Callithrix jacchus: one gene and its partners. The protein of the gene in region 6 interacts with the protein of the main gene of each other region in a pairwise test. Links are inferred from orthologs where the notes say so. Each region holds a gene or a part of one and is shown on either strand. Other genes may lie near its edges. The genes, in order: BET1, NAPB, CYBRD1, STX6, VAMP4 and STX4.

Region 1 (4,907 bases), on a different chromosome or scaffold from region 6:
AATCTGATTTCATTGTTATTGAACTTTGAATGTGCATATCTTTGTCAAAAATGGAATCATATGCTTCTCTGAGGGCAGACAGTATCTCATGCTCCTATATCCTCCCTGTACCTACTAAGTACTTTACATGCAGCAGATACCTAGGCAATATCCAACACCACAAAAAACACAACAAAATATTGAAGAAGTATTTTCCAAACATAAGAGAGTTGTACTATCTGAATTTTCCTGCTGACACACTATCTATGAAATGCTCCACATGTGTTATTATAAAAGAACTCAAGGAGTGTGCATATTTTTCCCCTCAGTCAATTAAAATCACCATTTAAAACTGCATTCTCCCTCTATTAATCAATAATACTCTGTGCAAACTCTAGTTTAATATGGGCCAAGATACTTAAAGAAAGAATAATGTCTTCTTATTTTGTGTGGCTGAGGTTCTGAGTATATAACATAACATTTACCCAATAAGTACTGACTGGTTGAATTCAATCATTTGACAACGTCACCAAGAAATTCATTCTAAATTAATAGCTATTTTTCCTTTCCTTTGTTTAGTTGCTTTTGCCTATCTTAATTTTAGAGTGCTTCCATGCTGTTCTATTTATTCAAAGTGAAATTCTTGTTTATTGTACAAAAATATGTTAATGCACATTTCTCCTATTAAAGAGTTGATGTTCTCTCAAATTATGAGCCACCCCAAATACAATGGACAAAAAAACAAAAACAAATAAAATGCTAGAATTGCTATTCTGAACAGAGCCACTTCTCTTCTGGCGGTATACTGCTATGAAAGGTGTAAAAAAGCTAGCGGGTACTGAAGATCATACACAGCCTTTGTTAGTTTAGAAAAATGATTCTTCTTTTGGATAGGTTCTATCAGTAAGCTAACAGAACCATTTAGAGACACATATGAATGTGACAGCTTCTGCCTATGAATATCTATCAGATTCACTACAATCCCAAATTTAAAATTTCAGATCAATATACATTGATACTTAAAAACATGAAAAGAAGTGCAGGCGCAGTGGCTCATGTCTGTAAACCCAGCACTTTGGGAGGCCAATGTGGGTGGATCACCTGAGGTCAGGAGTTCGAGACCAGCCTGACCAACATGGCGAAACCCCGTCTACTAAAAAATACAAAAATTAATCAGGTGTGGTCGTGCACACCTGTAATCCCAAGTACTTGAGAGGCTGAGGCAGGAGAATTGCTTGAACCTGGGAGGTGGAGACTGCAGTGAGCTGCGATTGCAACACTGCACTCCAGCCTGGGCAACAGAGGGAGACTCTGTCTCAAAAAGAAGAAAGAAAAGAAAAAAAAGATAGAAAAGAAGGAAGGGAGGGAGGGAGGAAGAGAGGGAGGGAGGGAGGGAGGGAGGGAAAAGAAAAGAAAAAAATGTGTAAAAAAAGCCTTTGTCACTTCACATCAATATAAATTATAGCAATAGCAGTTACCTAAGTAATCACCTCTCCTCTCAATCACAGGAGAGCGCTTTAAAAAAAAAAAGGAGTATGGGGTAGTGGGCTCTAAATTAGTGAGATTCTAATTTAACTGGCTGAGCTGAGGTCCAGGTAACAATAAGTTTAAAACTTCCCGGGGCTGAGAACCATTTCTCAAGTCATTTTCCTGCAATTTAACATGGCATACTACAACAGAAAAATACTCCAAAGGGCCTAGAGGCCTACTGATGAAATCCAAACTCTTTGGCCATGAAATCCACTCTTCAGCCTCACATGCAAAGATCTCCACAGTGTGATCCTTCATCCCCTACTTCAACCAAACTGGCTTAGTCATAATCCCTTACTTTTTTGAGTTCCCATTTGGAACTCACTTCCCCCACTCTCCATTATTCAAGGTCTACTTCAAATTCCTAAGTCTCCACAAGATACACAAGGATCTTCTCCACAAAGTATACAGTGATCTATATCTGAAGCCTCTGAGACCATCACTTATATGCAGAACTTATCTGGTATTTGGATATATAGCAACTACTTTGTACTATAAGTTATCTTTGCACATATTCCTACTCCACACCTAGACTGGAAGCTTTGGGGAGCACAAAGAGGGCAGCAAACAACTGTAAACCTAGAGCTTACTCAGGCACACAATAAATCCTTTTTTATCATTAATGATGATGAACAAGAAAAACATTTAGGTATATAAAACTAAACTTGCTGAAAATTATTTTTTTTTCTCTTCAATGTACCTGGCCCTACATTCTTTCTATGATCCAAGTAGTCATAAAAACTTCATTAAAAAAAACTTTCTCATACTACAATTTATTAATCGATAACAAGTCTATAGTTATTGGCAACTTTCATTGACTTTAAATATCTGACACTTTTTGGAATTTTTTTTTTTTAAATCTTATAATGACTGAGATAGATAACATTATCTTTTTGCAAATGTTTCATTTATTTTCTGAAGTATACAGCACTCTAATGTAGCAGTCTTATTAGAAAAAAAAATACTGTCCTAAGAGAAAGCTTCAGAACCAGAAAACGCTGCTCTAATAGCTGTATGTTACTATAGAGGACCATTAAAATTCCTTGTGCCTAACTTATTCTTGCTGGTGAGCCAGCTTCCTAAACCCCAAGGTCAAGATCAAATGTTAAGATACCAAACCTTACTACATTCTACTGCCTTAATCATGGCACAAGGTTCAGATAAGAAATCGCCTTTCACCCAGATGTTACAGTTCCAGGACCTTTAACAGTAATGACACGTACATTTACCTTTGTAACTCACTGTTACCAGATTAACGACCATTATCAGTGTGCTTTGCGTGCAACTACCCACTCTTCAAATTCCGCTTCTGAAGAAACAAAGATCCAGGGCCAGTAGAGAAACAGAAACCGAAGTCGGGCTTTGTAAAACACACCAGTGTCCATAACCAAGCTCAGTCAATAACACTAAAACACTCGACCACTGAGATGTCACCTGTACACACCCACCCCAGTCCAATGCTTTCTCTAGCCTACCATCCAAACTTGAATCTGACTCAAACTTAAGGAAACTCCTAGGATCTGGGACAAATGGTGTGTTTCCACTCGACAAGGCCCAAAAGATACCCTCTAAAGATCCTGCTTTTTGGACCAAATGCCAAGAACAAAAGATAGCTCCGATTTGCTCCCGCGCCCCCGCGCTCCCGCGCCCAGCATGGCCGGTTCTAGGGCCCCGAACTTCGAACCTCGGCCCTCTTCTTACCCAGGCCTGCGCGCCTCATCCTGCCAGAGGAGAGAGGAAAAAGGCGGGCGCGGGGGGTTAGGTGGGTAGGAAAGAGCTAGGGGTGACCCGAACCGCGTCTTCAGTACCAGGGCCCCGCGGAACACCAACTTCTTCCAGCAAAGCGCCACGACAGCTGTAGATTCTAAACACCGAGCCGACTGATGGCGTCACTAGGGCGCTCATTGGAGCCCTGGGAAGAAGCCTGAATGGCATTCTGGGAAATGTAGTTCACTGACGCAGAACGTGTCGCAGGTGGCGTGGTGTGAACCCGGTTCCAGGAGCGGACGGGGCTCCGGAAAAGGGGGCGGCTTCGGCTGCGGCTCTAACTCTGGGTTTCTTATCCAACATCCCCGCTGCTTGTCTCGCGGCCCTCCGGGTCGCTGCTTTCAGTTTATTGACCACCAAGTTTAACTTAACAGATCTCCTCCTCCGGGCCCACAAGAGGTTGATTGGGATAACTTTCCTGATTGAGCCTTGTACTCTCTCTTACCTCCAGAGGTAGTGCAGGGAAAGTTAGAGAAGACTTTGTCCACGTTTCTCAGTTTACAAACAAGTAATCCAACATCCACAGAAGTAACAGATTTTGTACCTCATGTATCCAGTAAAGGAGAGAAAACCAGGTTCCTTGGAGTAAGACTCCTGCTCAGATGGGAGCAGCCCAGGAAAAGCGTGGGGTCTCATAGGAGACACTGAATAGTTCCGTTACTGTTACTGCATCTGTTGTATTTGAGGAACCAAGACTTTTAGTTGTTATAGGGAACAAAGGACCCCTAAATTCCCTCCCACTTAACTTTTTTTTTTTTTTAACTTACGCAAATGTTATTGAAATACTGCTTACACAAGGCATTGAGCCAGTTTGGGGGTTTAAAAGCTTGTTGGCGAGTGAAGATGTTGCTGGTATCAGGGTTAATCCTAGAATTTCATTTTGTCTCACCGGATTATTTATCATGAGAATACGGTAATCATGGTTTTCGGAGAAAGAAAAATCTGATACACAGTAGGTAATCAAAATCCACTGGGTATCTCCAGTTTTGTTGTTGCTGCCATATGTATGGTAGTGGAATCGTCTCCACTCCACAAATACGTGATCTCTGATCATTTAGTATTTTCTCATAGTTTCCCAAGACATTATTAACCTTGACCATAATAGTGGCACAAGTCTCTGCATTAAGTTGTTTTTGTATAAAACACATGAAAACTACTTTTAATGAGAGTTATTAACCTGAGAAGGAAGACTTATTCAATAAGGTTTCCATAGGAAAAAAAATCTTCGTTAAAATTAAAACGCCATTTTCTAAAAGCAATGGAATTAAATGAGGATAAAATCAGGGACAATTACAAATAAAAGATGGAGATTCAGTAATAGATGATAGCTAGATATCCCATTACAACTTTTAATCTATGTCCTTTGTTTGATTAAAAAATGCATGTTTTATAATGAAACATGTTTAAAAATTGTCCTAATGAAGGCTTGCTGATAGAAAATGTAGAAATTGTCATTTTTGAAAATCAGTTAATATTTACCAAAACTAATCATTTGAATTACCTAAAATATATTCTTCCTTTACATGGTAGGAAGACATAAGAATGAAATGTAGTTAAAAGGAAAAAATATATGTAATGTACTAAGAATATAACTGAAGTAAGGCAAAGCTAGTTCATATTGAGCTTGTTAC
Region 2 (4,365 bases), on a different chromosome or scaffold from region 6:
GTCAAACAGAAACGCCGTATAATAAGTCACGCGATTTCACTTTAAGTTGTCAGACCAGAAGATTCTTCAAACAAGTAGAAACAAACTACTCAAGGGCTCGGAACCGCTCCGCACACCCCATTTTCACGAAAGTGCATTTGGCTGGTTGTAGGATATATTATTATGCAAGAAAAAAACCCATTTTTCTCTCTGATCATTTTTTCCTAAGAGATTCTAAAAGAGAGTGAAAAAGTACCAACTGGGCTCCATTCCAGATCTTACCACCAGAGACAGCCAGATCTCATTTAAGCCTCTCAGAACTTGGAAGGAAGGAGGGACCCACGTTAGATTCCAGGGCCCATTGCCAACCCCAGTGGATGCTCTGACTACCAGCCACCTCATGCACGTCACCACCAGAACTATGGCCACCGGATGTGGATCCTCTATCTGGCCTTGGCTGGCCTTTCCCACCAGAACTATGGTCAGCAAGTCCTCGTGGCCACCAGATGTGGATCCTCTATCTGGCCTTGGCTGGCCTTTCCCACTTCATTTCCTGCTACTTTCTCTTTCTTCCTAGACTGACCTACTCACCATTCCTCAAACACCCTGCACTCAACCCTTGGCCTGGAAACACTCACTCTACTTCAGCGCAATAAAATCCTACCAATTCTAGTTGAGAGCCACCAAAAGTGAAAATGTCATTCCAACACTGCTTGCTACTGCCTGACATAACACAGGAAGTTTCGTCACCTGTCATCAGTGAAGATCCGTGTTATCAAAGTGTCTGCTGGGTTAAGTCTTGCAACAAACACATTTCCAATATAAACCATTTAACTATAAAATATGCAAAAGACAGTCACAGGACAAGTCTATGTCTAAAGTACAATATCAGCATATAAAATAATAGAATCAAGTTCATGAATTAAGATAGCACATATATATTATATAAACCAATTAAACATGACAGAGTTCCAACAAGCCAAAATATTCCATCAGCTAAGAGAACAATCAAGTCCCCTGAGAAACAAGTTGGGGTTCTTGCCCACTTGGGCATAAAGTCCACTCCTGTACCACATTCACCCCACCTAATCCATTATGTGCAATAAATGTGAAAATTACGTACATTCATTCTTCAGCCTGACTTAATCTATCCAGGCCTGACCAAGATTTCTATAGCCACAGCAGAGAACACATTGCCTCAATGTAGTATATAAACATGAAAATGATGAGCAGGCTGTGCCAACTGAAACACTCTAACGCAAACATAAAGGGATTTCACTCCAACTACAAGTGAAAACTATCTCCAGAAAAACAGAAAATTCCATTTCTAATAGATCTTGCAGGGTGTGTGTGTGTGTGTGGGTGAGTGCAAATCAAGTTCACTCTGACACTCATCCATACATGAAGCAAGTCCTTCCAGAGAGCTCCTTTCCTCACAGTGTAATGCCTACAGACCCTGGCCATTCTATATTTTTGCCATGCACGTGTTAGCGTACAGAACACAAAAAGCAAAGAAACTAGTCACTAGCACCATCGAAATAATCACAGGATAACAAAAATACAAATGATTTCCAATAAAGTCATAAACTCATTCCTAGTCACTGCCCTAAACTAAACACACATTTAAAGAACATATCCAGATGCCAAAGCACAGAGAAAATGCAAAGCATCTACGAGAACAACTGGGCTGAGTCCTCAAGTCCAACAAAAAGGACATAAAAACACGTGGCAACATTAAACACGGGCTCCACAAACACCAGTGAAATATGAGGAATGAGATTCTCAAGTACTTCGCAGAAAACGCTGGGGGTCTGATAAGCGGGAAACCTATCGTTACCACAAGATGAACAGGAGCCTCCCCTTCATTCACTTCACAGCAATATAGACTCCACAAGTTTAAACAATACACAGGTCGTCTGGCTCATATGCAACAAAATTAAGCCATTAAATGGGCATCCCATAAAGATCACTTGACCCTAAGACAAAACTAAAGAGGAGTTAGCTGCATGCCACGAAGACGGAAACATTTCATTTGAGATCTCCATCTCCTTCTCCATCCCCTTGGATGGACTTTTTGATGCGAAGCAACATGGTGGTCAGCCACTGATCCAAGCGAGATATTGAGTCAAATTCCTTCACCTGGTATAAAAAAGAGGAGCAGGAATCACCCCATGTGATACATTAAAAACAGAAAATAATAGTACCCAAGCTGTCTATACATTTACAACCATCATCCACTTTCCTCAGCATTTGAAATTAATCATTTCAGTTTATAACTTTCTTCACTAAAAACTTGTTTATTTTTTCATTATCCTGTTACTATTTTGATGGTACTAGTGACAGGTTTCTGGGCTTGACATTTCTCTGTTTTCAAACACGTGTATGACAAAAATTCATTATCGGTCATGATTAATGTGACAAAAGAAACAACTTTGTATAAAAATTTTAAAGGAGTATGAAAAATTATACTTCACTGAACATGGGAAAACATTAAGTGCAGAGTTACAATGTCTGGAAGCGGAATTCCTTTCACACATTTCGATACAGTACCACAGATTAAAATTACAATAGGATGAAAATGACAGGGTAGGCAAAAGTTAGGAAAACATTCCTTTCCACTCTTACTCCTGAGCTGGGATGAACATGTTATAGGAGGCTACTGGGAAATTTGCCTGAGGCTGGGTATAGTGGCTCATGCCTGTAGTCCTTGCCCCATGGGAGGCCAAGGCAGGTGAAGAGCTTAAGCCTGGGAGTTAAGAGACCAGCCTGGGCAAAATGGTGAAAACTTGTCTCTACAAAAAATACGAAAACAAAAAAAATTGCTGGGTGTGGTAGTGTGCACCTGTATTCCCAGCTATTGAGGAGTCTGAGGTGGGAGGCTCTCACCTGAGCCAAGGAGATTGAGGCTACAGTGAGCTGTGATCACCCCACTGCACTAAAGCCTGAGTGACAGAGTGAGGCTGTTTCAAAACATATTAAAAAATTATTTTTGCTTGATTCTAAATATGAGATGGCAAAAGATGGAAAAACAAATATAAAGAAAAAAACTTTCATTTTAAAAAAGATTTTTATTTATTTTTTATTTATATATTTATTTCTGAGATGGAGTTTTGCTCTTGTCCAGGCTGGAGTGCAATGGAGCGATCTTGGCTCACTGCGACCTCCACCTCCTGGGTTCAAGCGATTCTCTGCCTCAGCTTCCCAAGTAGATGGGATGACAGGCACACTCCACCACACCTGGCTAATTTTTGTATTTTTAGTACACACGAGGTTTCGCCATGTTGGCCAGACTGGTCTCAAACTCCAGACCTCATCATGATGCACCTGCCTCGGCCTCCCAAAGTGCTGGAATTACAGGCATGAGTCACTGCGCCTGGCCACCTTCCATTTATTTTATGCCATAAATAGAGCAAATTCTCACTAGTTTTTATATTTTAAATTATATTTAACTAATTTTTTTTTGAAACACAGTTTCACTCTATCACAGGCTGGAATGCAGTGACTACAACCTCTGCCTCCCAGGTTCAAGCGATTCTCCTGTCTCAGTCTCTCGAGTAGCTGGGATTACAGGCGCACGCCACCACACCCAACTAATTTTTGTATTTTTAGTACAGACAGGTTTCATCATGTTGGCCAGGATGGTCTCGATCTCTTGACCTCTTCATCCACCCACCGTGGCCTTCCAAAGTGCTGAGATTACAAGTGTGAAACACTGCGTTCAGCCTTCGTCCAGTAACAAATTTTACTTTATACTTACTTATAGGTCAGATTATTTTCAAAAAAAAAAATTGAAACGGCAAATTATAAGAATATATATGGAATATTTGCTCCTGAACTCGTTTCACAGCTAAATTAGTTTTAAGTATAAGTCAGGAAACAGCACTGAATACAACTAGAATCTCAGCATGGCTGACGGACCTGTTTGATTTGTGCAAATAGATAAAAGGTGACCTTTGGAAAATACAACTTAGGTATGCCGGAGTCATATTCAAATAAATGTTTAGAATTTACATAATGCAAAGAAGTTTCTCTAGCTTAAATCCTCAAATAATGTCCCATGTCCCAAAAGCATAACTTACGGCTTCCGTGTAAGCTTCACTGTTCTGTTCTTCATGAGCTTCTAGGAGTTTCTGGTAGCATAAAAATATTTTTAAAAAAACACTTTTGTAAGATGAAGTCCCATTTCTAAATAAACACTTTAAGTGTAGCACTGATGTCGCCAATACTGCACGCTGTTGAGGAAATACTCAAATACAAGACCCAAGTTAGGGATCTAGCTCCTGTACCAGCATTTCTGAGTTGCCTATTTCAGAACACAGCTATATATTCCTGACCTTAGTTGCATCTGAATACCTATAATGCCAAAGCAGGAAGGTACCAGGGCCC
Region 3 (4,884 bases), on a different chromosome or scaffold from region 6:
CTCCATTACATTGTGTTCATTGTTAGAGCTCTGAAATCCCATTGCCCAAAATTTTCCTCCTTGTAGCAATCACACATAATAAAAAAGTCTGTTATAACATGGCAAGTCTGTAATGTGCGCTTCCTTCGCAGCCTATAAAGTCTGTTTATTACTCCCCCTCCTTCCACTGGAGCCTTCCTAATGCTTGGGATGAGGAATGTGGGTGGGTGGATGGGCCAAGATGTGGAAGAACTGGGGAGAACCATGCATGTGCCTACATGTATGAAAACATTTATGCTCAGGTCAATTAAATGCATTATATGATTAAAGTGATTTTCACATCCAGGGTCCAAACAGGAAACAGGATGAGTCATGATGGGACAAACTCTGGATCATTGATACAAATACAATAATTGAACCTAAAGAACACAAGATCGGCCAGGTACTGTGGCTCACACCTGTAATCTGAGCACTTTTGGAAGCTGAGGCAGGCAAATCACTTGAGGTCTGGAGTTTGAGACTAGCCTGGTCAACATGGTGAAACCCTGTCTCTACTAAAAATATAAAACTTAGCTGGGCATGGTGGTAGACAGCTGTAATCCCAGCTACTCGGGAGGCTGAGGCAGGAGAATCACTTGAACCTGGGAGGCAGAGGTTGCAGTGAGTTGATATCACCCCACTGCACTCCAGCCTGGGTGACAGAGGGAGACTCTGTCTCAAAACAACAACAACAAAAACAAGATTTTCATAAGAGCAACAGATGACAATTGCCAAAATATCCATTTACACATTTTTGTCCAAGAGTAAGTATGAACAGATTAAGTTCAAAGTTTAGAGTAACTTAAAAACCTTTTAGGAAAACTGTATATTGGACTCTAATATGAATGAAGAGTTTCAAAATCTATTTTAGATGCAGGTTTTCTAAAAAGAAGATTAGGCAGAAAATAAGTATATTACCATAAAAGCAGAGAATCGAACTTTGACAATAAGGTCACTGAAAAGAAAACAACTTTCATGGGTAAGTTACATAACTCTTGTCTGCCTCATTTTACTCTTACATACATGTGACATCATGCACTTAGTGGACTCACAGCATGCAGTCACTGTAAGCTGTTTTGACGTTTTCTCCTCTGTGGCAAGTCAGGCAATGAGTAATATCACTTGTGTTTCCCTTACCCTCAATTATAAGAAGATATTCCAAGAGATATTCTCAAGCACAGAGTTGAGGAAGTAGCTGAGGGACATACAGAGTCGAGTGATTTTGTTTCTTGGTATTAGAAGCAAAGGAAATTCTTGGTATTAGAAGGAAAGTTTCTTGGTAGTAGAAGCTGCTCTTTAGAGCTGGGTGGAAGAGGAGACTGGTTCTACTCTTTTTTTTTTTTTTTTTTGTGGAGTCTCACTCTGTTGTCCAAGCTGGAGTGCAGTGGCATGGTCTCGGTTCTCTGCAACCTCTGCCTCTTGCCACCTGGGTTCAAGCAATTCTCCAGAATCAGCCTCCCGAGTAGCTGAGATTACAGGTGTCTGCCAGGCTTTCTGTATTTTTAGTAGAGATGGGGTTTCACCATTTTGCCCAGGCTGGTCTCGAACTCCTGACCTCATGATCTGCCCTCCTCGGCCTCCCAAAGTGTTTGGATTACAGGCGCGAGCCACCGCGCCCGGCTGAGGGTTCTACTTTTTCAGCAAACAAGGTGTAGACAGCTCTGGGCCAAACAAGGGCTCCACCATGAAGGAAAGAGTGCTTCTGGTGACTGTTACTTTGGAACTTGAGTAGGTTTTTCTCTTTTAAGCGTAGTGGCAAAATAGCTGAGAATTACGCAACAAAATGACTTATGTGGTCAGTGGTGCTCACACCCTGATGCCGATCTCATACCAGGGAAGCCTTGGACTACCGAGGATTAGTAACACCTTCCACTACATTCCAGAGTGGGAGAATGCTGGCCACACTTGTGAAAGCTGCAGTACAAGTTGAAAACAACCAGTAAAAAAGACAAGATCACTTTTCTTTAGGAATGAGGTCAGCACTCTTTTGCACACTCATTTGTGGGGAGTTAAATATTTGGTGAAGAAAAGGCAGCCTACCCGGAGGCAAAGCTAGAGATTCAGCCAGTGGACATCTCTTTCCAAACCCTTGCTACCCTTCTCGATTATTTTCTGCAACATAACCCCAGTCCACCCCTTGCTGCCTTTAACTACTTTCTCAAGGCCATGCCTGTTGCAAATACACGATGTTTGCGCCACAAGCTCGAGGTTCCTCCAGCCACAAGGCAACCCGAAGGAAGCTGTCAGGACATGGCGAGCGGCACTACACAATGACAACACACACTACCAGCGACTGCTGAGCCCCACCCCCGCGCCAGCCTCAGCAGGAAGAATGCAGGCCCGGGGCTGGCTCGACGCGTGCCAAACACGGAAACTCGGGGACATCCCGAGCAGAGGCATCCCTCGGTACCAGGAGGCCACGGGCCCTCTCCAGGCATCTCCCACCCGAAGTGCTGGGCCAGTGCCCAACAGGAAGCCCCGCGGGGGAACTTGCGCCAGTAGGCTACCACACAAACAATTCGGGCTCAAGACCGTCCAATGACTGTCCAGGGAGGCGAAACACTCTTTGGGGTCCCGGCAACTTCCCGGGCTCGACGGAGTTTAATGCTCTAGGAGGAGAGGAACCCGGGGCGGATGCTTCACTCGCCCCTCCTTGGCCAGCCCCTTCACCCAGAGTCAAGGATGTTACAAAATTCTCACTCCAGCCATCTTTACCCCGCTGCCTTCCCCTCCTCATCTGCACCCTGGAAGCAAGTTCAGCAAAAGGCTGAGGCCAAAGCGTTTCCGCGGCCCGGATTACGCAGGCTTGGTCCACGGGGGCAACTTTCGGGGGCGAGTGAGCTGCCAGCAGCAGAGCGCTCCGGCTCAAGTTTCTGGGTCTCGGAGGCGTCTCCAATTTGTCCCAGCCACTCACCGCGAAGAGTTAATCAACTGGGGCGGGACACGCTCCGCCGCCCCCAGCAGCGCGTCTCTACCGTGCACCCCAGACCCCGAACTCGTAGCGATCTGCCCGAACTGCAGCACATTCCGGCCTCCAGAGTCCGCCCGCCTCCCTCCAGCCGCCCTCCCGCCCTGCCGACTGGGCTCCCGGAGCGCTCCCCTCCAGGCCTCGCCATCCTCCCTCACTTCCTCAGCTACGAGGGGCTTCACGGAGGACCCTCAGCCTCCGCCGCTCTCCCCCCACCCCCGGAGGTGCCAGTACCGATGCCCTGGATGAAAACGAAGCCGGTGACCAGGAGCACCGGGTGCCAGTTAAACTCGAGTGCGGTCCCGTCCCAGCCGAGCCCCTCTCGGTAGTGGAGGACCCAGACTAGGGTGAAGATCACCGACAGGAATCCGACGAGCAGCGCCGACACCAGCAGCGCCAAGAAGAGCCAGTAACCCTCCATGGCCATCAGCGCCCCATACTCCGAACCGCCGGGGCCACAGGAACTTCGCGAGGCGGCGGCAGCCTCTGGGTAGTGGCCGGGCGGCGGACCCGGGGCGTCAATTTCTTGGGGCAGTCTCCGCCTGCGGGGAGGGACTTTCAGGGCTGCTGGCCCGGAATGTAGGGCCCCTTGGGGGTGGGCAGCTGGCCTCGGCTCAGAAACGGGCCCCACCCCCGGGATCACGCCGCCGCTGAGTGCGCTCACTGCGTGGTGGCCTCGCCCTCGCCCTCGCCCAGCATCCAACCTCGCAGAGGGCTTCGGTAACAGACCTAGTTAGTTGCTCGAAGAGAGGACTCCGAGGATTTTATACCCACCACTTTCTTTTCACCCTTCCCGTTTCTCGTCCTTATTTGTGGGGAGGCTGAGTCTGTCAGTGGTGCGCCCTCTAAGTTAAGAGAAAAGAGGGATCAGTTGGATAGTTATTTGTGTGCTTTTCACTGATGAACCCTCCTTAGCCTCAGTGCTAGAGAATTTGCTGTCTCTAATATCAAAGGGTGTTAAGGAGGAACCTATAGGGTGGTGTAAATAAAAATAAAATCCTAAGCCCCTCACTGACTGAATGGACTCCCATGGCCAAGCAGATCCCAGAAAAACCTTAAAGCTGAGTTTCTAGCCACAACTGGAAGGGAAGTCAGGAAGTCTATCCCCTCCCTTTTGGAATTTAGACTAAACAGCTGACTAGCATTAATGTTTAAAATAGAAACCGTAAGTCTGACAGAACAGAGTCTTTGTAGCAATAAGGCATTCAATTATAAACAGGACCTAAGTCATATATTCCTACGCTTAAGGAATAAACTTTGCTCTCACTGACACAAGCTTTTTCTTTTTCTCTAGCAGCTAAACAAGCACTGGCTTGAGATAAACAATATTAAAACAATTACAGCTCAGCTCACAGACGCTGACCAGCTGAAGCCCTGTTCCACCAGCCGAACCCCTGTTCCACCAGCCAGAACTACAACTTTCACTGGACAAGAGACTGATTTCAGAAACTTTTTCCTGATAAGACCACCAGAACCACGGACTGTTCTGGGCAGTTTACAGGGATTGTGTGCTTGTGTGCATTCACGTCCTGAAAAGACCTTTTGAAGTATAGGGCCTATTTGTAATACATTTAAATGTTAAGTCTCCACCCCAAAGAGACCATGTTACATACACGTTTGTTCAAGATGCATGTGTCAGGACCACCGCCATTAATATTCATTGCTCCTCCTTTAACCTGTTAAATATGAATGTTTGACCAAACTGTCAGCATAAAGTTCCTATCCCAACCCCTCTGCCTTCTAAGTGCCTTTCTCTGGTCTTAGGCCAGAGGCTGTGTTTATCAGCCTACAGAGTGGTCATCTTATAGGCTATAACCTTATATAAGAAATAAAGTCTCCTCCTTTTTCAAATTTGTAATTTTTTTAAGTTAGCAGTAAAGGCTGGGCACGGTGGCTTA
Region 4 (4,837 bases), on a different chromosome or scaffold from region 6:
TGAGACATAAGAATCGCTTTAACCTGGGAGGCAGAGGTTGCAGAGATTGCACCACTACACTCCAGTTTGGGCAACAGAACAAAACTGTCTCAAAAAAAAAAAAGTATGTGAATTCATTTTTCAACTGTAAGTTTAATGAACTTTAAATACAGATCAATTATTTCTGATGAAAATTTAATGTCCAAATTCAAATGTGCACTAAGTGTAAAATATGCATTAGATCTAGAAGCCTTAGACCAAAAGTAAACTATTTCATCAATAATCTTTACATTAATCACATGTTGACTATTTTGAATGTATTAGCGATTATGTTAAAATTAACTTTATCTGTTCCTTTTTACTTTACTATGGCTACTAGAAAATGTAAAATGATGTAAGTGACTGGCATTATACTTCTATTGGACAGCATTGATCCAATAGTTCCAAGGACAGCTAAAAGAGGAAATAAGATCAGAAGCAGGAAGACCAACTAGAAGATTCTTTGATAAGCATCCAGATAAGAGGGACAGGCCTGATTATCTACAAAACCTAATTCAAGATATACTACCGCCTCCAAAAGCTTTTCTAATCCTAACCATTCTCAAGGAATTGCCTTTCACTGAACTCCTGGGGCACTTATCATCTGTAGCATTCACTTCAACACTTAATCATTTGCCATCTGTTATTTCTATTTAATTTTGGGATAATTTCTCAGATTAGACTAGAAGCTCCTAGGTTATGGGCCATAATTTAGGCACCTTTAATTTTTCCATACTGTGCAATGCATTTTTGATACTTTTAATAAATGCAGGTGCATGACTCCCCAAAAATGTGGAGACACCTTCACGGGTGACTTTACCTTTCCACAGCAGAAGGTCCTGAGAATCTCTTTTCCTTCAGGAACCTTAAAGACAGGAGCTAAAATGATGTAAAAATCAATCCAAACTCCAAGCCAATGTTCCTATAAAGTAGTGATATTTAATCAGCGGCAAGCATTAGTAGACTGTATTGGATATTATCAAGAAAAAAAATGCCAAGATGGCAGAACAATTTTGGTTTTTGACAAATTCCACGAAAAGTCAAAACAAATTTCTGATCATCTCTGATCTCCATTGCCAGAGATAACCTTTGCCAACCTAAGCATTAAGAACTTTCATTCAAGGCCGGGCGCAGTGGCTCACGCCTATCAGTAATCGCAGCACTTTGGGAGGCCGAGGCGGGTGGATCACCTGAGGACAGGAGTTTTAGACCAACCTGACCAACACGGAGAAACCCCGTCTCTACCAAAAACACAAAATTAGTCTCTACTAAAAATACAAAATTAGCCGGGCATGGTGGTGCATGCCTACTACTGGGGCTGGAGGGGGGCGGTGAGGGAGGCTGAGGCAGGAGAATCACTTGAACTCGGGAGGCGGAGGTTGTAGTGAGCCGAGATCGCGCCATTGCACTCCAGCCTGAGCAAAACTCCATCTCAAAACAGCAACAACTTTCATTCAAAGGAAAAACACACATCTATTTTAAAAATTAACCCCTAACTCAATCCTTCTAATAAATACCACATTTTCCAGGTAGGGAGCCACGTATTACCAGTAAATCTACAACTCAGCATTTTCCCATCTAAATTAGGTGAAGGAAAATCTTTTCAGGGAAATGTAGTATAAGTGGAAAAAAATATGTACATATATATACACACACACACACACTCTTCAAGAATGTCACCAAAAAAAAAAAAAGTAGTATAAGTGTATTTTACTGCATCAATAAAGTATTTCACCTAAAGTACCATTTAAATTTTCTAGAACACTCGAATGTAACAATAGCCAGCTTGTACTACTGCAGAAACAGGAAGACAGCAGCAACTAGTTGGAAGCAAGGAACATTCTATGGTGCTCAGTACTGATCTGGGAACTTTGCAGTTTTCAGATTTTTCACGTTTGACATTTAAAACAGAAAATTGACACGTTTCTAATAAGAAACAAAGTCACATCAGAATTGATCTTCTCGCATTTGTTTAATGGCTCCAAAGTGCAATTGAAGTTTCTATCTCCAAAGAAACAATCGAGCAATCAAAGACGGAGTTAGGGCAGCTTACAAGGGAACAGAAGGCAGTTCTATTCTAAAAGGCAGAAGAAATGAGAGAAACCTGTCAAACAGCCTGGATGAAATCAAGGAGTTAACAAGCAACACTCATTTCCTTTAGCACTGTGAGAAAATTCCGGTTGCTAATAGAAAGTTGAGGAAAGTTTGGTTTGGCTCGTTTCATTTTGTTTTCCTTCCAAATCATCACTGAGTATGAACGACTGCTTTCCTCTCCTCACTTTACTCAGTAAAAACTCCCCCATTGAATTGTCTTCCGGTGCCCTGCTCCCCCGCCTCCCTCCCTGCAAACGTGCTCAGACGCCTCTGGGCTTGTTGTGGTTTAGCCAGTCTGCGGGCCAGCGCTCCAAACTCAATGGACAATGGAGCTCACTCCCGTCAAGGCGAACTACAAAGCTCAGGAGGGCCATTTCCCTTTTCCTGCCCAGATGCTGTTTTCGCTCCTTCCAAGCAAGGTCTCATGCTCGACTGGAGAGCCACTGTGAGCCAGGACCCTCCGGTCTCTCTCACCACCTGCAGAGCTGCTGAGCCCCTGCACCCCCCTCCCCAAATAAGTTGAACCCCAGCGCACAGGCCAAAAAGGCCCCACCACCACCAGGAGCTTGGCTGGGGACAGCGGCTTCACGGTCCAGGTAGGGATGGAGGGGACGTCTCTGGACTCTTTGGTCACGGCCCTCGAGGCTAAGCCGTCTCCACTGTCCCCTCCCCAGCTTCAACTTGTCTCCCCTCCCCCTATTGCAAGAAGACCGGGGAGGTGCGGGCAGGCAGCACCGCCACCTTTTTCTCCGGTGGAACCCTCGGCCGACACTCACCCTTTCACCACAAAGAAGGGGTCCTCCATGGACATGGCGTCCCGGCCCCGGCCGCCTCCACCTCCTCGGCGCACAGTGCACCCGTGCCTCCCGGCCTCCTTCCGCCCACCGCGCCTGTTCCCGCAGCTGCCCGCGTCTTAGCCTGGAGAACGCCGAGCCGCGGGCAGTCGCGCAGGCCAGGTGCACGGGACCGCCGCGGGTCCAGCACTCGCTCACCACCACCGGCCGAATACAGGACTCTAGAGCCGGCCCCAGCGGCAGCCTCGCGTCCCGGCTCCTCCCGGCGCGTCGGAGGGCCTGACCCAACCCCCGGGAACCTCGGCCGCAGCCAATCACGAACATCGCCTGAAGCACGACTTCCGCACCCAGTCACGTGACGAGGGCCTGCTCCGCCCCCCTCGTGGGCGGGGCCTGGGCATGCGTCACACGGCCCTGGAGGCGGAGCCCTGAGGCCGTGGAGGTGGGAGGCCTTCTACCGCCCTCCCCTCACACTTGAGGGTGAGGAGCGGCTTCTTCCCTCAGAGGCAGGCAGTCGGCTTTTCAGGATAAGCTGCAGTTGCACCTGATTTGCAAAATCCTCTTACCTTTCCTCTACTTTTAATACCTGATTTTGACAGTATGCAATTTATATCTCTATCTGGCCCTAGACTTACAGTGAAGCATGGTATCTAATTATGATGTTACACAGATCCTTTAAGTCTTAACTTTGTGTTGGACAGTGTGCTAAAGGTTGTATATGCATCATTTCAGTATCCTTTGGGGGGCAGGCTCTCTTTCTATCACCCAGGCTGGATTGCAGTGGCACAATCACAGCTCACTGCAGCCTCGACCTCCTGAGCTAAAGTGATCCTCTAACCTCAGCCTCCTGAGTAGCTGGGACTACAAGTGAGCACCACCACACCTGGCCAATTTTTAAATTTTTTGTAGAGATGTGGCCCTAAGTATATTGCCTGGGCTGGCCTCAAACTCCCAAACTCACATGATCCTCCTGACTCTGCTTCCCAAAGTGGTGGGATTACCACACCCATCCATTTTCCCCATTTTGTAGATGAGAAAATAAGTTCAGAGAGGCTTCAAGACTTCCTGTAGTCACACAGCTTGGACAGGGCAGAACTGCAGATTCTTTGCACTTTCCACCAGATGGGGTGTACCTTCTGTTGCTGTATATTCTGCAAATAACCATGTAAAGTAATTTTTCATACAGCATATGGCGTTTCCCAGGAGAGAGCACCTTCAAGGAATAAAGAAGGGGCCAGGTATGACAACTTCATCTCACTGTGGTTCAAGAACAATTCCAGAAAACATTTTGGCCAGAACAATTAACCAACTCAGGCTAGATATGCTGTGGAGTTTGTGGATGGGGATGTGGACTTTGACTGCTGAAAATCATTGGGCATTTACTGTGTGTGTGTCAGGCAGGGTGTTAAATGTTATCTCAGTTGCTCTTACAATGCTATAACTACTGCTATCATCCTCATTTTATGAATGAGAAATCTGAGACCCTGGGAGGTTAGGTGACTTGCCCAAAGTCACCAGTCTCTGGAGATGGCACAGTCCTTGGAGAAACACAAACCTTGGCTCTATCATGCAGTTCCTCAGCTACAAAACATAAATAATAATAGCTAGTTCATGGATTGTTATGATAGTTAAATAAAAATGCATGTAGCTGGGTGCAATGGCCCACGCCTGTAATCCCAGCACTTTGAGAGGCCAAGGCGGGAGGATCGTGAGGTTAGGAGATTGAGACCATCCTGGCTAACACAGTGAAACCCATCTCTACCAAAAATACAAAAAATTAGCTGGGCATGGTGGCACATGCCTATAATCCCAGCTACTTGGGAGGCTGAGGCAGGATAATTGTTGGAACCTGGGAGGCAGAGGTTGCAGTGAGTCGAGATCATGCCACTGCACTCCAACCTGGGCAACAGAGTGAGACTCCTTCTCAAAAA
Region 5 (4,999 bases), on a different chromosome or scaffold from region 6:
AAGATGTCTCCGTGAGCAATTTAAAGTTGGAATCAGAAGACAAGAGAACATGTCTATTTTTCTCACTTTTAGTTGGTTGCTTAAGCAATGATTTGGTTTCCTCATGTGTAAAATAGTGATTTTCAGGCTTCTGCACAGAGTTGGGATGGTCAAATCAGATAATACATGCAAAAATATTCTGCAAACTATAATGTCCCATTGATGCTCCATTAAAAGGGGTAAGTTCGGTAATATTGTGATTTATAAAATGTATTTATTTGGTCTTAATCCCCATTTCCTGACATATCCTCGGAATCCCTGCAGTGATGTGTCCTGTGTATGCTAATAAGACGACTGGTAGCTTAGCCCCTAGATATATTCAAGATGGGAGGCTGGTCACAGAAAAACCTAGGCATGATTAGAAGACTGGGACTTTTCAGTCCCACCTGCTAGCCTCCTGGGAAGGGAGGCAGCCTCAAGGTTGAACTGATTTCCAATGGCCAATGATGTAATCGATCATGTCTACTAATGAAGACTCCATAAAACCCAAAAAGGACAGGGTTCAGAGGGCTTCCTGATAACTGAACAAGTAGAGGGTTCCTGGATGGTGGCACACCTGGAGAGGGCATGGAAGCTCTGTACCCCCTGCCCTATGCACCTCTTCAATCTGGCTGTTGATCTCTATTTTTTTGTAATATCCTTTATAATAAACCAGTAAATAAAGTGTTTCTCTGAATTCTGTGAGCCACTCTAGCAAATAAATTGAAGACAAGGAATTTGGGGAACTCTGATTTATAGCCAGTTACTGGAAGCACAGGTAAAAACACCTGGAACTTGTGATGGGCACTCGAGGTGCAGAGGAATGTTGCAAGATTAAGCCCTCAACCTGCAGAATCTGATGCTATCTCTAGGTATAAAGTACCAATTGAATTAGAGGACACCCAGCTGGAGAACCTGATGCAGAATTGCCTACTTGCTCATGAGGAGAAATCTTTTTGGGGTCAGAGGAGTATTCTCTGTTGAGAGAGACTAGGAGAAATTCAGTTTTTCTTTCATCAAAACAACTGGATTAAACAAAGCTAGTTTTCTTTACTACAGAATGACTCAAATCCTCTTACATGCTAAATGCATTGTGACTTTCTAGGAAAATGCTTGCATATGCAACATATTAAAATTTTTTTTAAGAAAAAGTTGTTCTATGCAAATAATGAATTTTCAGTATTTTGGACTAGATGGTAGATGAATACCCAGCAATTAAGGATAGCTCAGAAATACTGAATGTTTTACTATATGCTAGGCACTGTGCTCAGTGATACACATGCATTTTCTTTTAGTCTTTATGATGCTTCTTTGAAGTAGGCACTAAGAAACTAGTAGAAAACTAAAGTTTAGTAACGATAATGTTAGTCACTACACTCATTGAAACGGCAGAGATACAGGCCTAAATCAATCAATGGCAATCCATTATCAGTTTTAATTATTTGTTCAATTAGTTGCCCATCAGGTTTACAGAATTCTGTTCTAGAGAGACTCATTTTCCGGTAACAACCCAATAGTCCTGTTTCCTTGCCCACAAGAAGCAGCATTTAGACCTTTAAATTACGTAAAATTAGACATCAGAAAGAATAACCCCAAAGTCTGGTTTCCTAAACCAAATAAAAGTAATATTTTAAGTTAGCTACTTGTCAAAACAAATGGACACAAACACTCTTCTTTGATAAGAAATGCTTCCAAATCAGAAATTATTCACTTGTAACAAAAAACAAACTCTTGCTGCCTAACAGCTCTTGAGTTCTTGGTTCCACAGTATTTGTCACATACATCTGGCCCTTTTATTCCTCACACTTTGATTTCAGAATAATTCATTTATGCAGAAATGTAACAGAATGCATGGAAAAAACAGATGACAAAGCAAATTACTGAAGAACTTGTGCTTTTAACTATATCTGTATTTAGATTTTAACCCCATGCATAGAGGCTGCCTCAACACCCCAAAGCAAACAACAGGCAGACTTACATAATGCGTTTATGAGACATATAGTAAAACTACAATCTTAAGGATGGGCAAACCTCATATTCAGGTCTCTCAATCCCAAGAAACCATGTCCAACAGATAGAAAACCCATCCGCAAAGCAGTAGACAGATTAATTAGCTACCTTGATGAAATCTGATGTTATTTGCAACTACTGATTATTTATTAGTATCTGATGATACGGGTATCCAACAACTAGTAGAAGTAAATAATGCTCAGAAAGGAGACTAGGATAGAGTCTGCTTAAGATTTCCCCTACAAAAAACATACGTGAATTCAGGTGTTGGTGACTAGGAATACATGTAAATAAGAGAGCCATCATGTACTTCCACATTGAGGACAGACCACCACTATACAATTCACTTACACAGTCACATCACCGTATGCTTCTTATGCATCAGCATATACTTAAACGTTTATGTATGAATTTTTGTAAGCAGTACGTTATTTAGTCAATAGCTTTGAATCTGGGCAGAGGCTCTCCTTTTCCCAGCCTCCATTCCCTTTTTAACTCCTCTTCCTTGTCTGTCATCAGCGTCTTGCTCGATGCAGTTTCATAGAAATAAAGTAACTTGGATGGACACAGACCAAAGATGTTATTAGCAAAACCTGTCAAGTGTAACGATTCACCCCCACCTTCTGGTCATTACAAACACAGCAGGGTTGGCGCTCTTTCTCCCGAGCCCTTTAAATACACAATTCGAAGCAGCTCTGCTCACCCCCCAACACCCAATCTGTCGCACCAGGCCACGTCCCTCGAAGTATCTGCTCCTAACGTTGGCCCTTCCTGCCCCATGGTACTCCCTGGCATTCCTGACTGCCTCCCACTCTTAACAAACCTTCCCCATCCATGGCACTGTTCTCTCCCCATCGCCCCAGAGTACCCCTCAATTCCAATTCTTCTCCCCTCAACTACTCCCCGTCCGCACACCCCTGTCCTCGTCTTCCTTCCTCACGGTACCCCCGGCCCCAGCTTTTTCCCACTCTGGGGTCCCTTCCTAGATCCCCGAGGCCGGCTAACCAGCCCAACTCGGACGTCGAGGGGCGGCGAGGCAGGGGCGTCATCTTCATTTCCTCCCTCCTCACAGCAGCCCCTCCGGCTGGGAACAGGCCAGCGCCAGTACCTGAGGCTCCCGGGGAACTCCCGGCAGCTCTCCCGGGCGGGCGGTGCTGGACGGGCGGGGGAAGGAGTGGGAAGCTGAGGTAAAAAGCTGGGAGTGGGGGGACGGTGGGTGCGGATCCGGCGTCGGCCGCAGCTCCGCAGCAGCGCCTCCGCTCACCGAGCCGATCGGCGCTCGGCGGCCTGGCGCCAGGCGGAGGGGGCGGGTCCAGGGCGCGGAGATAGTCGAGGAAGTCGATTCCGCCGGGCGCTCTTCACCTGGAAGAGCCCTGACCCTCAAGGATTTTAGATGCAGCTCCTCCCTGTGCTTTAGGGGATGAGTGACCACTGGTTCTCCAGGTTCCGGTCGGGATCCGGCGTGCGTGGAGGGCGTTTATGGGAGGGATGGGAAACTCAGAACTGCTCGGGTCGGGGTGCTGGCTGGGGTGATAAGGCGTTTACAAAGAAGGTAGTGCTTTGTGCCAGATCCGTCCCTCGGGCTGACTACGTTGGGTGGCAAGAGGAGGGTGGCTTGCGGCTCGAGGACCTGCTTCTGTTTCGTCTGGGGCCTTTTCTGAAGAAAGAAGTTCTGTTTGATCCCCTGTTTGCAGAATTAGAGCTGGACTTGGAAAGAGATTTTAATGGTTCCTAGGTCAGCCTCCTTTCTTTAGGTAGGAGAAATATCTGGTTCAGAGAGGAGATTGACTTAAAGTTACACAGCTAGTTTAGATAGATAAGGGACGGCGGCTCCGTGTTCTTTTCCCGGTATCCGTTAGTTGTAACCTGAAAGCCTTCAGGTTTCAGGGAAATCGCCCTTGCCTGGCCATTCCGCTGCTCTGCCCATGCTTCCCTCACTCCTTCCTCCTCCGCCCAGTTTGGTATCATATTTAGATCTCCAAGCCCACAGATGCTGGCTACCAAAAACAATTCCTAATTTTGTTTTTCCGTTCTCTTATTTATTATCCATTCCTCCCACGCCCCAGCTGGAGTATTTTACTCATTCAATCATATATCCACTATACATCTTTTAACATTAATACAGTATTTATGGGTCCTTTGTTGATATAGTATTTTAACTGTCTGAAATACCGTGCCAGGCTCTCTCCAAAGACAAAAATAAGGGCGTGTTCAGAAACAAAAGTAGACCAGAAAACAGCAGAAGATCTGAGGACACTAAAGGAAGAAATAGACACCTTCATAAAAAAGTTGCTCTTCGTTTGATGTGTAATTTTATGCAAACATGCACTAACGAATTTGAAAGATGCCATGACTAGGGCAATGATACTCAATGCTAAGTGATTCACTTGGAGTTGAATCACCTGGAAAGCTTTTAAAACCACTGTGGGTGGGGGGGCGGTGGGGAACTACTGGAAAACTTTTTAAATCACCTGGAAAGCTTTTTAAACTACTCAGGTGCCCACGTGCTACCTAGATTCTGATTTAAATGGTCTAAGACTTAGAAACAGCTGTCGGGTTTTCAGTTGAAGGTTCTAAAAAACTTGATGTTAAACTCAGGTGTCTGTGTTTATTGCTCCAGAGCCCGGCTGACTTGGACTGAAACGGCCCACCTAGAATAGAAGCCTCTCAAGGTTTGCATCTCTGTCTGGGCATGACAGTGGGACTACTCCTAGTGACCCAGACATTATTTTTTCTTCTACAGATTTTTTTTTTGAGACAAGTTCTCACTTTTTCCCCTAGGCTGGAGTGCAGTGACATGATCATAGCTCACCACAGCTCTGAACTCCTGGGCTAACGTGATCTTGTCTGTGCCTCCCAAGTAGCTGGGATTACAGCCATGAGCAGCTGTGCCCAGCACTTACAGTTGATTTTATATCTGCATATTTGCATGTTATAGAATACTTTCTGGCTTTGGTGTCTTAGCCAATTA
Region 6 (4,888 bases):
CCGGCCGGCGCCCTCTATGATCTCTCCTTTCCCCTTGACCTCTTTGATCTTACTTCCTCCTCATGTTCCCTCCCTCCCTCCCCACTGGTCTCCTTACCCCTCCCTAGACAAAGCAGACTCCCAGCTCAGGCCTTTGTCTTTGCTTCTCCTTCTGCCTAGAATGCTCATTCTCCACAAACACCTTTAAATCTTTTGTTCAAATGTTACCTTCTGAATGAAGTTCTTCCACCTGATTTAAATTGCATCTGTACTCTTCTCCAGCATACTCAGTCCCTCTTCCTCTGCTCTTTTTTCCATAATGCTTATTATGTCTAAATAATTCACTTATGTATTATGGTGATTGTTTCTCTACACCAGAATGGAAGTTCCATGATGAAAGGGATCATTGGTTCACTGCTGTATCCTAAACAGTTCCAAAAGGGTCTGGCACTTGCTGAATGCCAACCTTGCTGCTTATACCACAACTGTGCTCATAAGCCTAGAGATGAACATGCCGCCCAGGCAAAACAGGTGCAACAAGCCCACATGGGCCCTTGACCTCTCATGCCAATCAGCACCACAGGTTACCCCAGAAGCACTGGCTATAGGTCATCTGCTCTGCCTTGCCCCTTCTCCTGAGGCCTTAAATATGTTCGTTCCTTGGAGTTTCGTTTCCAGAGATACATCTACTCTCCTGGATCCGGCTGCACCCTTCCAAGATGCCCAAGTTGCTCCATCTTCAATCTGGGGTCCTCACTTCCAACCCTGGGCCTAACTTCCAACCCTGACCTCCTAGAATCCTAAAGTACTTTTCACTGGGGACCCAGAGAGGGCCAGTCACATCACCCCAAAGGCCAGGTACAGTGGCTCACACCTGTAATCGTAGCATTTTGGGAAGCCACAGCAGGTAGGTCACTTGAGGTCAGGAGTTCAAGACAAGCCTGGCCAACATGGTGAAACGTCATTTCTACCAAAAATATAAAAAAATTAGCCAGGTGTGGTAGTGCACACCTGCAATCCCAGCTACTTGGGAGGCTAAGGCAGGAGAACAGCTTGAATCCAGATGGTAGACGTTGCAGTGAGCCGAGATCCTGCCACTGTACTCCAGCCTGGGTGACAGAGCAAGACTCCATCTCAAAAAAATAATAATTAAAAATATAAGATATCACACCAGGGAAGTTCCTCTTCAGTGTCGCCCCAGGGAAGTTCCTCTTCCTGCCTTCTTGAATTCTGCCTGTGGGACTAAGGACTCCCTGTCACATAGGCAGGAAAGCTGCCAGTCATTTATGACTTCTCTCTTTCCCTGGGCAGCACCATTATCACCAAGTCCTACGTGAGTAATGTCTTTGTCCTTATTGAACCTGAACTCCTCATCTTGACTCCTAGAAAATATGTGTCCCAGCCAGGCATGGTGGCTCACACCTATAATTCCAGCACTTTAGAGGCTGAGACAGGAGTGTCCCCTGAGGTCAGGAGTTCAAGACCAGCCTGGTCAACATGGTGAAACCCCATCTCTACTAAAAACACAAAAATTAGCCAGGCATGGTGATGTCTGCCTGTAATCCCAGCTATTCAGGAGGCTGAGGCAAAAAAAGTAAAAGAAACATGTGTCCCTACAGCCAAACCTAGGTCTTGTCTGGGGTCATAGCAACTTCTTATTGAATGAAAGAAAATAAAGCAGGGTATTATAATCGGACTAAGCATCAGGAGACCTGGTTTCCTGACTTTGAGCAAGTTCTTTCTCTGAGTTCAGTTTCCCCATTTGGAAAATCATTCCGCTGGACTCCACCATCTCTGCAGGCCCTTCCTTCATACATCTGTCATCCAGTACTTCATGAAACATTTGCTGAAATGTCCTCATTTCTGAGAAAAAAAAACCCACCTGGGTTTTTCTTATTCTTGTGTTGACGGAGTTATAGTTCTCATCAGCTTCCTCCTTCTGGGGCTCTATGGCTGTGGGAAGACACATGGAGTACTGGGGGTACTTGTTTCCATGGATTTTTAGGGAAATATAATTTATCATAAAATGACTAAGGCTGAGCCTCCAAGAGGAGAAAGTACGTTTATTTTTCTTTGCATTACATCACTGAGTTCCCATAGGTATGCAGAGGCCACCTAACAAAACCCCATCCTCTTGCCCAAAGAATGCCCAGTGGGCTGCAATAACTGTGTAAGTAAATGGTTACATTGTAAATAAAAGAACCTGAGAGGCCGGCTTGTCCTGTGGAGAGTACAATGGCCTGGAGGCCAGGAGACAGAGATGCTAGACCCAGGCCTGCTGTGTGACCTGGTTATATCATCGGCTTCTCTGGGCCACACACTCCCCAGATACACCAACAACAGGGCAGGATCAAAGGGAAGGATCTGTCTGAGGTCCCAGGAGCTCACCCTTCAGCTGCAGGCGGATCTCCCTCCCCAGCTGTTTGATCTCATCGCGCAGGTTCTGCAAGTCCTGCTTCATGCCTGAATAAGAGAAGACCACGACTCCGAACAGCAGCTCCCACCTCAACAAACCACCCTGGCAATCACCTATGTGGGACTACAACCCCCACAATCCCTAAGGTGGTGCATGCGCCCTGCAGTCGGAGTTTCACTCACTCTCCTCGGGAAGGGGCGTGGCCAAGATGGTGACCTGCTGTTTCTCCAACTCCTGGACTTTATTCCCCAGTTTGACAATAGTCTGCCGAATTGCCCGGACCTGGGGAGGGTGACCGAGAGGGCTGAAAGAGATATGGGGTACTCCAGACCACGCTGGTCCTCGGGTCTTCCTACCCCCTCGCGAATCCAGGCAGAGACCCCAGCCCCTTACCTTCTGGAAGAACTCCTCGTCCGGGCTCCCCAGCCGTGCCATGCCCGGGTGCACCACCAGCGCGACCCGCTCCTTGTCCTCTTCGTCCGAGCTGTCATCCCCCTGCGAGGCCCGGAGTCATTGGTACCACTGTTTCGCTGCGGCTCTCACCCCGCACGACCCACAGGCTTCCGGGACTTTCCTTCCTGGCCATCAGCCATCCCTCCCCGCCCTGAAGATCAGGAGTCCTGCGTTCCAGTTCGTCCGCCCCTCAACATCTCCACTGCCCCCATGTCTCACCTGCCTCAGCTCGTGGGTCCTGTCCCGCATGGCGGCCTGAGCTCTCCCTCCTCGGCGCCTGAGCCAGGAGGCCCTCAAGTTTGGAATTCCCGTACCCCACTCACACTCTGACACTCCCCTCCCTCCCGGTGCGGACCTCAACACCCCCACAAGCCGCCAGACGCTCTGTCCCTTGCACCACCCACAGTCAATGGGAAGGAGCCGACCCCGGGGACCACTAAGGTTCCACAGGTTGGAATTCCCTTTTCTTCCCCTCTCTTGCTCTCTCAGCCTCAGCCCCGCCCCTCCGTGATAAATTCGGGGCATGCGCACAAGGTCGCGTCTCTTCCTCGCCGGAGGGGGAAGGCGGAGTCGGAAGTTGTTGCGCCCCGAGCGGAAACGGAGCTGCCTGGACGCGAGAACCCGCCCCCCTCACCGGAACCGTTGCAACTTCCAACGGAAATCTGGTTGCCAAAAGGCGTAGGAGTACGTCATTTGTACGTAAGCCGAGACACCCGCATCTCATATCACCCCATGATGCCCCCACTGCATCACGTGACCAGCCCGTTCCCAAACTCGCGGACCGCAGAACGTGACGCTGTGACTGTCACGTGTCCCGGCTCTGTCACCGCGGTCTCTGGGACGCCGTTCTCATCACGAAGTCCCCGGCACCCCAGCGACCGAACGACGCCCACACAGCCCCCGCGAGGTGGGGAGGGGCGCGCCGACCACCCCCAGAGGCCTTTTGAGGCAGTGGGTGGGTGTACCCTTGATGACTTCGCCTTTATTGCTTTCGGGTCCAGGAACGTGGGCAGACCACTTAGCATTTGGGGCTGTCAGCATCATGGGACCTCGAAAATCGGGAAATAATATCCGAGCCGTCAGCGTCAGAAAATTGCAGGGTTGTGTGAGCAGGGAATCTGGGGGTGGGAGGTGACCTCACCCAAGGCAGAAATCTCCCGCATCCTCCTGGCGCAGCCTCTGGTAGGTGGGCGGCCGGCGCCCTCCTTGAACATGGCAGCCCGGCTGCACTCACCACCTCTGAGCAGTCAGACCATGTCAGGGCAGCTCAGGCTAAGAAAAGTGTCTGTATTGTTGAGCACGCTGCCTCCCTACCACTCACACCCCCCAGCCCCTACCTTACATCTGAGATCAGGTCATGACTTCGTTCTTAACTGAATCTGGGGAGTTCCTAGCTCACTACCAAGCACATAATGGGCCCTCTGTAAATAACTGTGCACAAAATTTTAGCCTTTCATGTATCTCAGGATAAAGCCCCCAGTTTCCTGGTCTTCTTTGGGTTTCAGACTTTCTGACTGTAACACTTCCCTAACCCTGGCTATCTAGATATTCACTCGTTTTTTATTTTTAAAAATTTTCATGAGGTGAGGTCTCATTATGTTGCCCAAGCTGGTCTCGAACTCTCGGGCTCAAGCAATCCTGCCTCAGCCTCCCAAAGTGCTGGGATTACAGGCAACATTAATTCGCTTAATGGATATTTATTGGGCACATACTATGGACCAAACACTGTTCTAGACTTGGAGACATATCAGGGACTAATAGACAAAAATTCCTGCACTCGTCAAACTTACATTCTCTAGGAGGAGTCCCCAAGGTCACTCAGCAAGTCTCAGCATAGCCAGGAATGAATAATGGACTCCTGGAACCCAGGGCTCTCCAGGAAGCTTCTGTGAAGGTACAAGTAGGGGAAGGAATGGACCCTTTCTGCTATGACCTGGTCAGGAAGCCTAGATTCCTGGGACTGAGTTGCTATGGACTTCTGGAAATCGCTTCCTGTCTCTAAGCCTTGATCTCCCTCTGTACAGTGGGTAACTAGGGGGA

What was found.
Region 1: the proteins of STX4 (region 6) and BET1 interact in binary tests that used the Homo sapiens proteins (3 or more experiments, as listed by UniProt). The two-hybrid records come from large-scale screens. The link is inferred for Callithrix jacchus from reciprocal best matches to the Homo sapiens genes STX4 and BET1.
Region 2: the proteins of STX4 (region 6) and NAPB interact in binary tests that used the Homo sapiens proteins (3 or more experiments, as listed by UniProt). The two-hybrid records come from large-scale screens. The link is inferred for Callithrix jacchus from reciprocal best matches to the Homo sapiens genes STX4 and NAPB.
Region 3: the proteins of STX4 (region 6) and CYBRD1 interact in binary tests that used the Homo sapiens proteins (3 or more experiments, as listed by UniProt). The two-hybrid records come from large-scale screens. The link is inferred for Callithrix jacchus from reciprocal best matches to the Homo sapiens genes STX4 and CYBRD1.
Region 4: the proteins of STX4 (region 6) and STX6 interact in binary tests that used the Homo sapiens proteins (3 or more experiments, as listed by UniProt). The two-hybrid records come from large-scale screens. The link is inferred for Callithrix jacchus from reciprocal best matches to the Homo sapiens genes STX4 and STX6.
Region 5: the proteins of STX4 (region 6) and VAMP4 interact in binary tests that used the Homo sapiens proteins (3 or more experiments, as listed by UniProt). The two-hybrid records come from large-scale screens. The link is inferred for Callithrix jacchus from reciprocal best matches to the Homo sapiens genes STX4 and VAMP4.

The regions. Positions count from the first base shown.
Region 1 is NC_133512.1:55,613,278-55,618,184, reverse strand, and holds the start of BET1 (BET1 homolog), read right to left. Parts: upstream 3,424-4,907; 5' UTR 3,415-3,423; coding exon 3,318-3,414; exon of another isoform or gene 3,230-3,317; coding exon of another isoform or gene 3,211-3,229; intron 1-3,210. UniProt on the Homo sapiens protein: Required for vesicular transport from the ER to the Golgi complex. Functions as a SNARE involved in the docking process of ER-derived vesicles with the cis-Golgi membrane.
Region 2 is NC_133506.1:30,399,705-30,404,069, forward strand, and holds part of NAPB (beta-soluble NSF attachment protein), read right to left. Parts: intron 4,110-4,365; coding exon 4,059-4,109; intron 2,119-4,058; coding exon 2,008-2,118; 3' UTR 1-2,007. UniProt on the Homo sapiens protein: Required for vesicular transport between the endoplasmic reticulum and the Golgi apparatus.
Region 3 is NC_133507.1:58,008,209-58,013,092, forward strand, and holds the start of CYBRD1 (plasma membrane ascorbate-dependent reductase CYBRD1), read right to left. Parts: upstream 3,486-4,884; 5' UTR 3,414-3,485; coding exon 3,221-3,413; exon of another isoform or gene 2,999-3,220; intron 1-2,998. UniProt on the Homo sapiens protein: Plasma membrane reductase that uses cytoplasmic ascorbate as an electron donor to reduce extracellular Fe(3+) into Fe(2+).
Region 4 is NC_133519.1:39,308,967-39,313,803, forward strand, and holds the start of STX6 (syntaxin-6), read right to left. Parts: upstream 3,176-4,837; 5' UTR 2,924-3,175; coding exon 2,889-2,923; intron 1-2,888. UniProt on the Homo sapiens protein: SNARE promoting movement of transport vesicles to target membranes. Targets endosomes to the trans-Golgi network, and may therefore function in retrograde trafficking.
Region 5 is NC_133519.1:30,967,956-30,972,954, reverse strand, and holds the start of VAMP4 (vesicle-associated membrane protein 4), read right to left. Parts: upstream 3,318-4,999; 5' UTR 3,137-3,317; intron 1-3,136. UniProt on the Homo sapiens protein: Involved in the pathway that functions to remove an inhibitor (probably synaptotagmin-4) of calcium-triggered exocytosis during the maturation of secretory granules.
Region 6 is NC_133513.1:30,560,236-30,565,123, reverse strand, and holds the start of STX4 (syntaxin-4), read right to left. Parts: upstream 3,367-4,888; 5' UTR 3,098-3,366; coding exon 3,068-3,097; intron 2,891-3,067; coding exon 2,789-2,890; intron 2,700-2,788; coding exon of another isoform or gene 2,678-2,699; coding exon 2,578-2,677; intron 2,443-2,577; coding exon 2,368-2,442; intron 1,933-2,367; coding exon 1,862-1,932; intron 1-1,861. UniProt on the Homo sapiens protein: Plasma membrane t-SNARE that mediates docking of transport vesicles. Necessary for the translocation of SLC2A4 from intracellular vesicles to the plasma membrane.